Linked DNA regions of Neodiprion lecontei. The protein of the gene in region 1 interacts with the protein of each later gene in a pairwise test. Links are inferred from orthologs where the notes say so. Each region holds a gene or a part of one and is shown in the gene's direction. Other genes may lie near its edges.

What was found.
Region 2: the proteins of nuclear pore complex protein Nup50 (region 1) and importin subunit alpha interact in a two-hybrid assay, tested with the Drosophila melanogaster proteins (2 studies listed by BioGRID). The link is inferred for Neodiprion lecontei from reciprocal best matches to the Drosophila melanogaster genes Nup50 and Pen.

The regions. Positions count from the first base shown.
Region 1 is NC_060265.1:9,405,673-9,412,213, forward strand, and holds nuclear pore complex protein Nup50, read left to right. Parts: upstream 1-2,217; 5' UTR 2,218-2,447; intron 2,448-3,008; 5' UTR 3,009-3,019; coding exon 3,020-3,181; intron 3,182-3,290; coding exon 3,291-4,180; intron 4,181-4,328; coding exon 4,329-4,472; intron 4,473-4,635; coding exon 4,636-4,942; 3' UTR 4,943-6,023; downstream 6,024-6,541. Other genes in the region: uncharacterized protein LOC107217553, read right to left, coding at 1,505-1,582.
Region 2 is NC_060266.1:18,041,097-18,046,348, reverse strand, and holds the start of importin subunit alpha, read left to right. Parts: upstream 1-2,006; 5' UTR 2,007-2,021; coding exon 2,022-2,204; intron 2,205-2,413; coding exon 2,414-2,482; intron 2,483-4,036; exon of another isoform or gene 4,037-4,109; coding exon 4,110-4,426; exon of another isoform or gene 4,427-4,493; intron 4,494-5,252. Other genes in the region: vesicle transport protein SFT2B, read left to right, coding at 1-91, 381-509. UniProt on the Drosophila melanogaster protein: Binds specifically and directly to substrates containing either a simple or bipartite NLS motif. Promotes docking of import substrates to the nuclear envelope. Seems to act as a cytosolic receptor for both simple and bipartite NLS motifs.

The DNA.
Region 1 (6,541 bases):
CCATAATCGATGATTATTATAGTCGAAGCAATGTAGTAACTGTGGAAATTTTATCCCACGTATCGTGTGTGCGAGACAAAACAATACGCATATATCTGTAAAAAAAAAAAAAGAAAGAACCGGAGATCTGCTTATTCTTCTTGGTATTATTCTTTTATCGTTGCGCTGCGAAACGGAAATATCGTTTACCGTGTCGCAGAGACATACTTGCACGCAGTACGCATATACGTACAAACCAAGGCATAAGATTTGGTTGTACATACGATACGTTGCTCGAATATTCAACGATGCTAAGTGAGACGTTAATTCTTACGAAGATAACGCGGGAGAATTTTCCGTCGATTGAAAACTACTACATGCAGTACACGCAACAGCGTGTGTATATTTATAACGATGGGGGGGGGGGGAGGGGGATGATAATAAAAGTTTCACAGCGGTTTAAAGTTGTAACGTGTAAACTTGGGAAATAATGCGAAGCGAAAAGCGGAAGTAAAAAAGTGGCGGAAAGTTTTTATGTTACGCGAGGTTACCTCGCGTGACTTCTTAGGTAAGATTTTTAACTCTTGTGCGGGTGAAAAAGTCGCGCGCGACATGTTGCGCGCTGCTTTCAATTGGTAAAGAAGAACACGACACGAGCAACGGAGTAAGTTTAATACTACTCGAGTAGTTTGATACTCGCGCAACAATAACTAATACCGAAACTTATATTATTTGTCAATTTGACGATGAAAGAAAGAAAGCGGACACGTTGTGTGCGATTTGTGGGTAACGATGTTGCAGCTGCGGGTGAAGATCGACGAATTATCACGTGAAATGCAAACGTAACGACGCGGAGATGTGACAGAGATCGTCGAAATAAGACGTGGAAATAACTATGCCTGTATCGTAAATCATACAAAACGTAACGACGCGTCGACAATATACGGCCACAGCGGCGACCTTGGTTAATTGAAGTATCAAACTGACGATAAAAAAAAAACACACCGACGATAGCGAGAAATACACGCTATTTTATACGTCGCACCTGAAAAACTGTGCGTGGAGACGTAGACTTATCGTTGGTTTGGCTCGATATATCCGACAAAATTTATAGCGATGTTGCGGTATAATTGCAGCGGTTAAACTGCACGCGAAATTAGGCGCACAAGTTACGTCGATATCGAACAACTTGTATCTCTATCGCGCTGATTTTTCCTTGGGTAAATTCTCCTCTTAAATCCGACAACCGCGTGAATGTGATCGGAAAATTAATTGGGATCGAAAAAGTCAATCGCGCTGCACGGCTTGATCGCACTCGTCGAAAGTTTTAGCATCATCTCTAAGCCCCCTTTCCCCTCGTCGTCGCTGCGCTCCGAGAGTGTAACAGTGTGTAAATGATGCAGGAAGCCTACGGTGATACATGCGTGTACGGTACATGTAACTGCACAAGAAACGCGCGTCAGGTTGTACGATGCAGGTATTAAAAGTCCGTCGACGGACAAACAACGAGGAGGAAATTACTTGCCTGATGATTTTGTATGGCGTATTTGAGCTTGTTTTGCACGGAGTGTATCTCATCCTGCAAACTTTTCGATATCTCCATAGTCGGGCCTGGAAGTTGGACTCGAGTTATTCCGAAGTTGACGAATTCGCTTCGTTATCGGCACCGCGTTTCAACGACGACACCAGTTGAGTTGAATTTTCTCTCAACAGATATAATTATTCACAAAATAGAGCGAAGCAATATCTCTCTCCTCTCGGCTCCTCGGCACGGCGCGCACCACGGCACTTGCCCGATTCACCCACCACCACAAACAATTGACCATCCGCACAAGTCGGATATTTGACGGGGCCGTGTGTAGGTTTTCACCGACGCGGGCACAACGACGACGACAGACACACGACACACCGAGCAACTTGCGTTAACCCCCCTTTCGGTATTGCCAAAGCTATTTTCCATCTAAGTTGCGGTTAATTTGGGAAAATACCGACCGGTCTACCGGTGTAAACATTTAGCTTGTTTATCGGACAACCTACCCCCGTTGTGTTACACGATATTTCAACTCAGTTTCAATTAAATCTCGGCCATTTAAAAGAGATTTTCCGACGCAGCGGCAGATGTTTTCCCAATAATAAGAGCGCGCAGGGGTGTGTGGTTGATGCCTGCCGAATGATCGTGGCGCCCTCGTCGTGACAACGGCCTGGTCCACAACTCCCGAATTTTCATCCCCCCTTCGGCCCTTCACAGACACTACACGACCAACTACGATTGCCGGCCAGCCCAGCCGGCCCCGAGTTGACATTTTTTTTTCATCAAAAGGCAAAAAGTCTAACGCGCCAGTTTAGCGCGGAACATTTACTTGCGATTTATCACTCATGTTTCGCGAGATATTATCGTACAAATAGACACTAACGCGGTTAACGTGGACTTTTCATCGACAGATTGCATACCGTTTATCAAAACTCAGGTACGCTAGCGATTCTCGACGCTGTATCGTTGCAATGAATTGACAATTGCCACTTTCGAATATACTCCCGATCGAGTGGCGGTTAACCTATAAATGTGTACTTTTTTTTTACTCGCACTCCAATTTCATATCGATCGACTGCTGGTTTTTATTTGTTACGGAAATCACATTGAATGGCGTTATGTTGAAACTGTTTAAGCGGGTAACGGCCGAAATTGATCCAATTCTATTTCGACCGAATCCTTTTCATAACCTCGAAACAGTATTGAATCGACTGTTACTATGTACTTGCATTGCCATGTCAACTTCACCGTAAACCCGCTGTTATATTCAGATCGCATATTCGCTCTTCGACAATTTCAAAATCCTAATGCTTATCGCAATTGCTAAATGTTTCGTAAGAGATAAGCGCCTAACTGGATTAATACCTAAATTCTTACGACACGATAGTCCTTCTATCCTCGGGAATTGAAATATTGCTCTGATAATTTGTTGATTAAATGCAAATCGATTACCACAGCCTGTCTGAAATTAAAACTGAAAAAATCATTCTGATTTTAGACCGCTCAGTGATGGCTGGCAAACGAACTGCTACCTCAGAGCTGAATCACGATAATTGGAACGATGAAGAAACTCGGGAAGAGGCAGGAACGTTTAGCAAAGCATCGAAAGAAGATTTGCAGAGAAGAGTCATCAAATCGGCCAGACGGCGAATAGTCAACAGCGGAGGGGATGTAAGTTTGGAAACATTGCTGAAAAATACAAAGATCCCTAGCACCAAAGCGCATTGCTTTTTTGTTGTCCGAAGTTGATTGTATCTCGTAATATTTCAAACTGTTTCAGGATGCACCAAAAGCAGCGTTTGGCGCGTTTACTGCTTTCAAAACTGCTGCACCTGCCGGTTCTTCACCCTTTAGCTTCCTTGCAAATACTAGTAATGCAACAAATACGAAGAGTAGTGAAAAAACGGTAGCTAATAAAGTAGGTTCGAGCAATGGATCGGTTAACCCAGCAGCGAATGGGCCAGAAAGCAAAGATTCTTCTTCGTTGAAACAGGAATCAATGTCGAAAAATTCGGATGCTAAGCATTTTCCAACTGGAAAGGAAGATGGGAAGATTTTCAAAAAATCAACAGATTATTATGCAAAATTGAAGGGACTTAACGAAAGCGTCACTCAATGGATCAAGTCACACGTAGATTCAAATCCGTTTTGTATTTTAACCCCAATATTTAAAGATTATGACAAGCATCTTAAAGAAATTGAAGCTAAACACGGACAGGAAACCACCCCGACAATTTTGAGCCCAGAAAAGACTGGGGAAAAATCTAACTTGGAAAGTTCACCCGTTAAGAGTAAGTCGAATTTGGAAACTGGAAAGACTGAATCACAGACTAAGAAGTCGGTCTTTAGTAATCCATCAGTGGGAAATGCAGAGTCGAAAAGCGAATCATCGATTTTCAAGAATGTGAATGTTGGAAAATCGTTATTCGGGAATACTGAAACTACCTCGGAAGTCAAAAGCGTTTTTGGCAGTGTTTCCACTGAACGGAATCCATTTTTAAGTACATCATTTACAGCTGTAGAAGATAAGAAAAAGGAAACCGAATCTGACATTACTGATCAGAAACCAACAGCAAGTCTTTCGTGTCCACCATCTGGTCCCACAGCCACATTCAGCTTTGGCCAAAGTTCAGCAACCAGTACAGCTTCGGCAGGATTCAGTTTCGGAGGGTACGTCCTCTTTCCGGGAGTAAATTTTTTATTGGTTGTTACGATGAGTTTCATATTCCGTTTTCATGTTTTTCTACCCATATATTCACGAAATATTGAAACATTATCAGCCTTCTTTTTGTAATTGTATCTATATATCTCCTTACAGTGGAAAACCATTTTCTTTTGGCAATGTGGCTAAAACTACAGAAGCAGAAGAGACTAAAGAAGATGAAGAAAAAGATGATGATGACGAACCACCGAAACCAGACTTCAAACCAATCACGGAAGACGATGCAATTTATGAACAACGGTAAGACAGTTGAAAGGAACATGCGATTCTTATTTATCTGTTTTATATGAAATTTACCTAAATATGTTTGTTACGTACTATGTTCTAGTGAATATTTGTTCACTACACTAGCACGATATTCAATGGCAGATGAAATTTATGGGATATAAATTGCTTTTCGCAGATGCAAGGTATTTGTCAAAAAAGATGGAAATTTTGCTGATCGAGGAGTAGGTACCCTGTTTCTGAAGCCTACACCCAACGACAAAACACAGCTAATAGTGCGTGCCGATACTTCGTGCGGAAATTTACTCTTGAATACAATATTAACCGAGGGCATACCAATGCAGCGTATGGGAAAGAATAACGTTATGATGGTTCTTCTTCCAACACCAGATTCCAAACCACCACCGACACCAGTTTTGTTAAGAGTTAAGACAAGCGAGGACGCCGATGCGTTGTTAGAAAAGCTTAATAAGCACAAGAAATGATTTTTTTAATCATGCCCACCGACCATTGTTCAACGGATATCAATCCATAAGTCATTATGGCAGATGTCAATTCTTGAATGAAAGCAAAACAATCGTGAATGTGTACATGTTTCTTATCAGAAACTAAAGATGCTATATAAATGTTAATGTACGACATTTACAGCTTAGTACTATTGATATAGATAATAATACGCAAGTAGAATACAGTCTCGTCAGTTTTACATTTACACAATGATCACAATCGTGATCAATAATTGGAATATTGCAACAAACGAATTCAAGCTTCAAATAAATCACGCGAATACGCATTCGGAACAAATTGAACTCGGACGCGTTTATATGTTGATGAGTTATACACAAATAAGTGGTTTCTGCTAAACTCATTACAGGAATACTCCCTGTTCACCTCATTTGATTTTAGAAAGAATAAAAGCCACTTTTATATATGAGATCGTTTAGTCTTGGTATTATAAATACTGCAAAAAAAATTTTACCGACACTTCCTCCAAATTGTTACTGTAGATAAGAAATTTTTTTAAGTGGCGATAAGAAATAGTAACTTACTTAAGTTATCAGAGACAGAAAATGAATCTATGTAAAATGGATTCTATGCTCTATTATCGACAATAGTGTCGTATCGTGGGTGATGACGTGTTAACGTAAATGCAAATGGATCTAGTAATGCATGTGACCGAACATTACAACGTCTGTATCTGTTAGTACTAATCGAAAATATAATTAACTCTTTCAGACAGATGAGTAACCAACGATGATACGCGACCGTCAGTTGAACAAAAATTGAAACGAATAAACTCTCATCATTGACCAGTAATACATCGGATATTCAAAATACTTTAGGTCAACTTTTTTGTATTAAAGTCTTAGATGCGCGTTGCTGTGAATTTATTATTAGCCTTTATTCCGTAAAATTTTACTTTTTACTTGTGTTGAAATAAATATTACGGGAATAAAATGAATTATAGTGAGTTTCCACGATACTTTGATACGAATAAAAGTACACTGTTACATAATCCCCATGTTAAATAATTAACTGTATATAAATAAAGCATCTGAAATTATACCGCTACATGTAGTTGAATTACATTGAGTATCCTTTCCCTCAAAAAGCAACAATTCAGGGATATATAAATCTGTTTAGAACGTCTCCATCTCAAATTATGTTTCATCTATTATTTTAGATACAATTTATAGCGCCTGTATAATATATGCAACTCGTAATATTCTACATTTCCTCATACCTTTTAATTTCCGTAAAATATTAATTTCTCCATTTATTATTAGGGTATGAACGTGTATAATAGTAATTAAATATTTTCAATCGTCTCAAGTATTCAACACAACATTCTTCTAGTTACAATTTTTTCATAATATTTTTCTTTTACTATTTAATATTATTACTAAATGTTTTAATCCTAAGATATATATTTGTAATTGTAAGTAAATACATAATTATTTTCAACGCAAGTATTAACTGTGTAATTGAACGTTAGCAGTGGTGCAGAAATACGGACGAAAAAAAAAAAAGATCTTTTCTATTTTTACCGAAGTGATGCATACAAAATTTTGCAACGGGCAACA
Region 2 (5,252 bases), on another chromosome or scaffold:
TCAAGTTAAAAAAATGTTTGCCGCTACAAGAGTTATAGCAACGATACTCGTGTTTTTCTCCATTGTAATGACCTTGACATCAGCTCTTGCGGTAAGTGACAAAGAATAAGAAACATTGTAAATCCCTTTAAAATATGCAAACAAGTATAATTGCTATTTTTGGTTCTACTAAATTTCAGGAGCAATGATCTTCATTGCTTCAATGCATACAAAATTGTGTTTTCCAATTCTTATGTCATTGATTTAATATTTTACATTTCCTACAAATAAATTTGTATGGGCGATTACCTTACGTTAATGGTTGAATGTATTTACTCTATTACCAATTTTGTTGTTTTATTTTTTTATTTTTCAATAACTGTATTATGTTTTATTTGCAGTTCCATAAAGCTGGATTAGCCCTCATATTTATAATCATACAGTCACTGGCAATGACATGGTATTCCCTTTCATATATACCATATGCCCGTGATGCCGTCAAGAAGACAATAGGAACATGCATTACGTGAACTACAATTTATGTGTCCAAATGTAACAATATCATGAGTAATATGCTCAGGCATGAGAAATTATTGTATACACAAATGATAAAATGTAAATGAACTAACCAATTATGTGAGCTGCAAAGGGTATCCAGTAATTTTGGAAGCTCGAGTGGTCGTATAAAATATCCTGATATATAAGACTTCTTGAAATAGTTAGGATTATCATGATATCTTACTCATTATAAATTAAATTAAGAAAAGATTTCTGTTATTTAATATTTCTTAAAAAGCTTGGTTTTTGCCATTCTCGGATAATAATTATGGACTGCATTTATACATGTATTGAATAACTTATGATATCTAGTTTAATAAAATCAAATTCATAATCTGTTGATTGTGTCTAAGAGCAAATTTAAGTTTTTATGTTTGACAAACTGGATCGATATCTTGGAAATGGCTTGATGAAAAAATCTGGAATTTACAGGACTTCATATTCAAATGATGGACATGGAAAATTGCGATGCCCCGTACGTATTACTGTATGTTTCTATACGGCAAAATTTGAAAAATTTTTATCACTTTTACCCTTCATACAACTTTTCCAAAAAGTTCCACATTCATTATAACACTATAGAACTGATAATATAAAGCAATAGGAAACAATATTATGACAAACGAAGAATCGATTGAATGGAAAAACAAAATGATTTCAATAATACTTGATGGTATATATGTACAAAAAATAATCCTACTTGAACGACTATGACAAGCACGGTACTTACACATTTGCGTTCGTGCTCCTTGCAAAGACTCCACGATTGGGAGGTTGGCTACATTGTCTACATGTGCGCCCGCGGTGTGAGTATAGTGCGCCTGCTTTTGGGTGCGTTCTGAAATAAATAGGCAACGCTAAAAACTCCCTAGGACAGAGGCACAGCTACTCAAGAACCCCAGCAGCGCAAAAGAGATAAATGATTGTTAACTGGGAAGCCAAGGTCCCTAGATTAGATAGGTCAAGACACGCGTGTTCCAGTTTTTCTCACTATAACGTGGGCAAAAAAGTTGTATGCGCGTTCGCCCACAAAATTTCAAACTTACATATTCCCGCATTAACCAGTTTTGACCAATCATGCTCAATTTTTTGAGGTTAAGCATTAACGAGTTGCGCCCTTAGTGTCCTGACGTTCACGAAATAAATAGAAGCACGTATATATTATGAGGTTAATGATTGTGACAGGTCAGGAATCAGAACCACACTTAGTGCTTTCCATTTAGAGCACAGTGTGACACAGTATACAAATTTCTATTGTTAGCGGCCAATCCGGGCAAAGAAATAGAGCAGAAATGTTTACACCGTGTCGTATTGTGCTCTAAATGAATAGCATCCATTGTCATACGAAACTTTTGGCGCATTCTGACTAATTTTTTTACCTACGTGTGCCTTGACCTGTCTCATCTAGGGACCTTGGTGGAAGCTATCGGAACGCACCTTATGGCAACTTGCGGTACTATTTATCTGGCAACCCTGTTACAGTGATGCAAATCCGGCATTCGGTTAACGGCGCAACAGGTCCAAACAGAAATCTGAATCTTCAAATCTCTGAAGCCCGAGTCGAGTGGAGTCGGCCATCGCTTGACAAACGATCGCTTACTTTCGCGCGGGATCGCGATTTAAGAATATTTCAAAATAATTCAACGTGCATCGTATTCTTCCCCCGTGTAAGGATTATATTCTTCTTACTTAAATCTTTTGCAATCCATTTGGGTTATTTTGTCGATCCGCGAATTCGGGGTTGTAACGTTTCTTTCAAAAACAAGATCAACACGGATCGACACGCGTGCAACCGTTACTTTTCTTTTTCCTCACCAATTTTACAACTCTTTTGAAGATAGGATTTCTTATGTATTTCTAACATCTCATCTTCCAGACAATGCCGACCCCAGAGGAAAACGGATCCGGTCGATTGTCCAAATTCAAGAACCACAACAAGCATGAAGTACGTATATTTTGCAATTATTTGTATCGCATTCATTTTATTATTCAAAAAAGTTGTCTCTCAGATTTGTCTTTTCTTCATTTTCATTTCCATCCAGACAACCAGATTCACTTTTACTGGAAATATTCTGCTTCCCTGGACCAGTCGTCTCTGTGTTGTACAATTCCAACATTTTTTCTTTGTTCTGTACTCCCTCATGTTCTTAAAAAACGAATCTCGTTAAAAAAAATAGATGTACTTAGAAAATCTTTGCTACCCTTATGGCTGATTCCTCGATATATTCCAAATTTAAAAATTACACGGCCAGTAAAAATTTATTTACCTTTGTTTCTAACGTCATAACAGTTTTAATCCAAAGCTATTTATGATATTAAAAATTCAAGGGAAATGAATTTCACTAAGCTGTGTTGTATAATTGAATATGAAAGATCCTAGTGAGAATTTGGCATCATACACAACGATGGCAAAGCACTTCTACAAAAGGTATCGTCGTATTTGATCATATCAAGTAATTGCCATTCTGTCGTCTTTGAAAATACTGTAAATTTTGCAAACCCATCCGATAGAAGTTATAAAGATTTCAGCTATACATTGAAGTCAGTCTGCGGGAACTAACTTAATCCTGCTGTATATAAACTCAAATGATTTTAGTCACTAAGAAAATTATGTGAATGTGTATAAAAAACCATATTAATTTAATTCCATATGATAATTGCTATTCTTTACCCATCCATTTTTTCTGCAATTCAATAACATTTATCTTTGGTACTTATTCAACCCATACGTGCCAGATTTTCAATATCATTTGAATCCATTTTTTCTTTGTTATCTTAGAATATTGAACCCTAATGTATCGACAAATAATTTACCATCAGTTTCTTCCAAACATATTGATAAACGTCTGAAACAAAATTCGTACTAGTCTAATAGTGACTGATCAATATGTAACACTGTAGTCATTAATTAATACCAGACAGTACTGTCCAACAGGAATGATTTGAAAGAAAGTCTGTGATGACTTCAAATTTACTGATTAAATGGAATCTTTAAATCATTACAAAAAAGAAGGTTTTTTATCAATTAAAAATGAAATAAAATTCAGCAGCTAATCACCCAGTCACCCAATACTGTAAATCTATATGTAATTTCCTATATAGACATGTATTCATTCACATGCTTAGTTATAAACCTGTTTTCAAAATACACCCAACTTCCGACTAATCCCTTGAACACCTGGCTCTACAAAGTTATTGGCATGCTCATGGTTGAGTGTTCACTCTATTGACATCGAAGATTTCAAAATAAACCATTCAAAAAGTATGTTTATGCAAATTCTTACCAAATATTATATCATATTTTTTACACAAATCGTACCTTTTTTATATCATAAACTAGCAAGAGAACTTGGATAATTTTTAATATCAATTTTATACCGTTGATCAATTTGTGGAAGTTAAAGTATTCAATGTAACAGATGTCATCTATTCAGTCCATCTTTGCAATCACCATCTCAGTGGATATCATCAAATTATGCAGAAATTAAAAAAAGTTTACTTGACTTCTATTTTGATATTTACTCGTATCGGGCAAGTTTATAACTGTACAAATTGTTATCTATTTAATCAAGGATGTCAGAAGGAGGAGGAACGAGGTTTCGGTTGAGCTGCGCAAGGCTAGAAGAGATGATCAGTTATTGAAACGTCGGAACATCAGTGTTGGGTGTGAGCCCCAGAGCCCCCCAGGGGAGAATGAGACAGCAGTTCCAATCAATCTGAGTACTGAGGAAATTATTACTGGAATGAATTCCAGTGATGAGCCTACTCAACTTCAGGCTACGCAGGCCTGTCGCAAGATGTTGAGCAGAGAGAAAAAGCCTCCGATTGATACCCTGATTCGCCAAGGCATTGTTCCACGTTGCGTCGAATTTCTTAGCCATGATCACAAGTCAGTTTATTACTCTTCTGCATTTAGCTAAACACATCCTACCACTGTCACTTCTAATGGCACCTCACTGCAAAAGTTCGACAAAACTTATTAAGGGGTTTTAAAATATGTGTATACAGCTGAAAAAATGGGTGACTTTTGGGGATTTATACCTCCAAAGCTAATCATTTGTTAGGATTGGGATTTATTTTACTCAAAAGTATGTAGATTGACATTCATTTACATTTTTATTCTTTATTAGAATCGATTAATAGGAAGCACTTTTAATAACAATAACGTCAATAATTATGCTCGATTACATGTTTTTCGATGTCCCAAAAACAGTTAAAAATTGAAGAAAGTATTTTTGAAACGTTGATCCCCATTGCTATGGTCCGAGTTAAAAAAAAAAAAAAAAAAAAAAAAAAGTTACTAGTTAATGATGAGTTTTGATGTTCTGTAAAAATTTTAGGTTTTTTTTTTTGTATTCCACTGGCAAAAAAAAACCAAAAAATGAAAAACAAAAAAAAAAAACTTGGGAGCATGTCAAAGATCCTAAAGTACGGAAGAATAGTGCCTTAAAATTTGAAGTAAATTGGTTGAACTGTTTTTTAGATATAGTGGGCAGCTCAAAACATGTCACCGAGCGAAATGGTTGACGTTAACGTCGATAACAATGCTTCCTATCAGTTGTGGACAATAAAATAAATATCCAAGAGATTTTATATACTTTTGAATGAAACAAACTTCAATGGAATTGAATAATTAGTTGTCTAGATATAAATTACTAAAATTTATCCACTTTGTTTAGCCGTCTACTTTCATCCATACATCCCCTTAACTATCT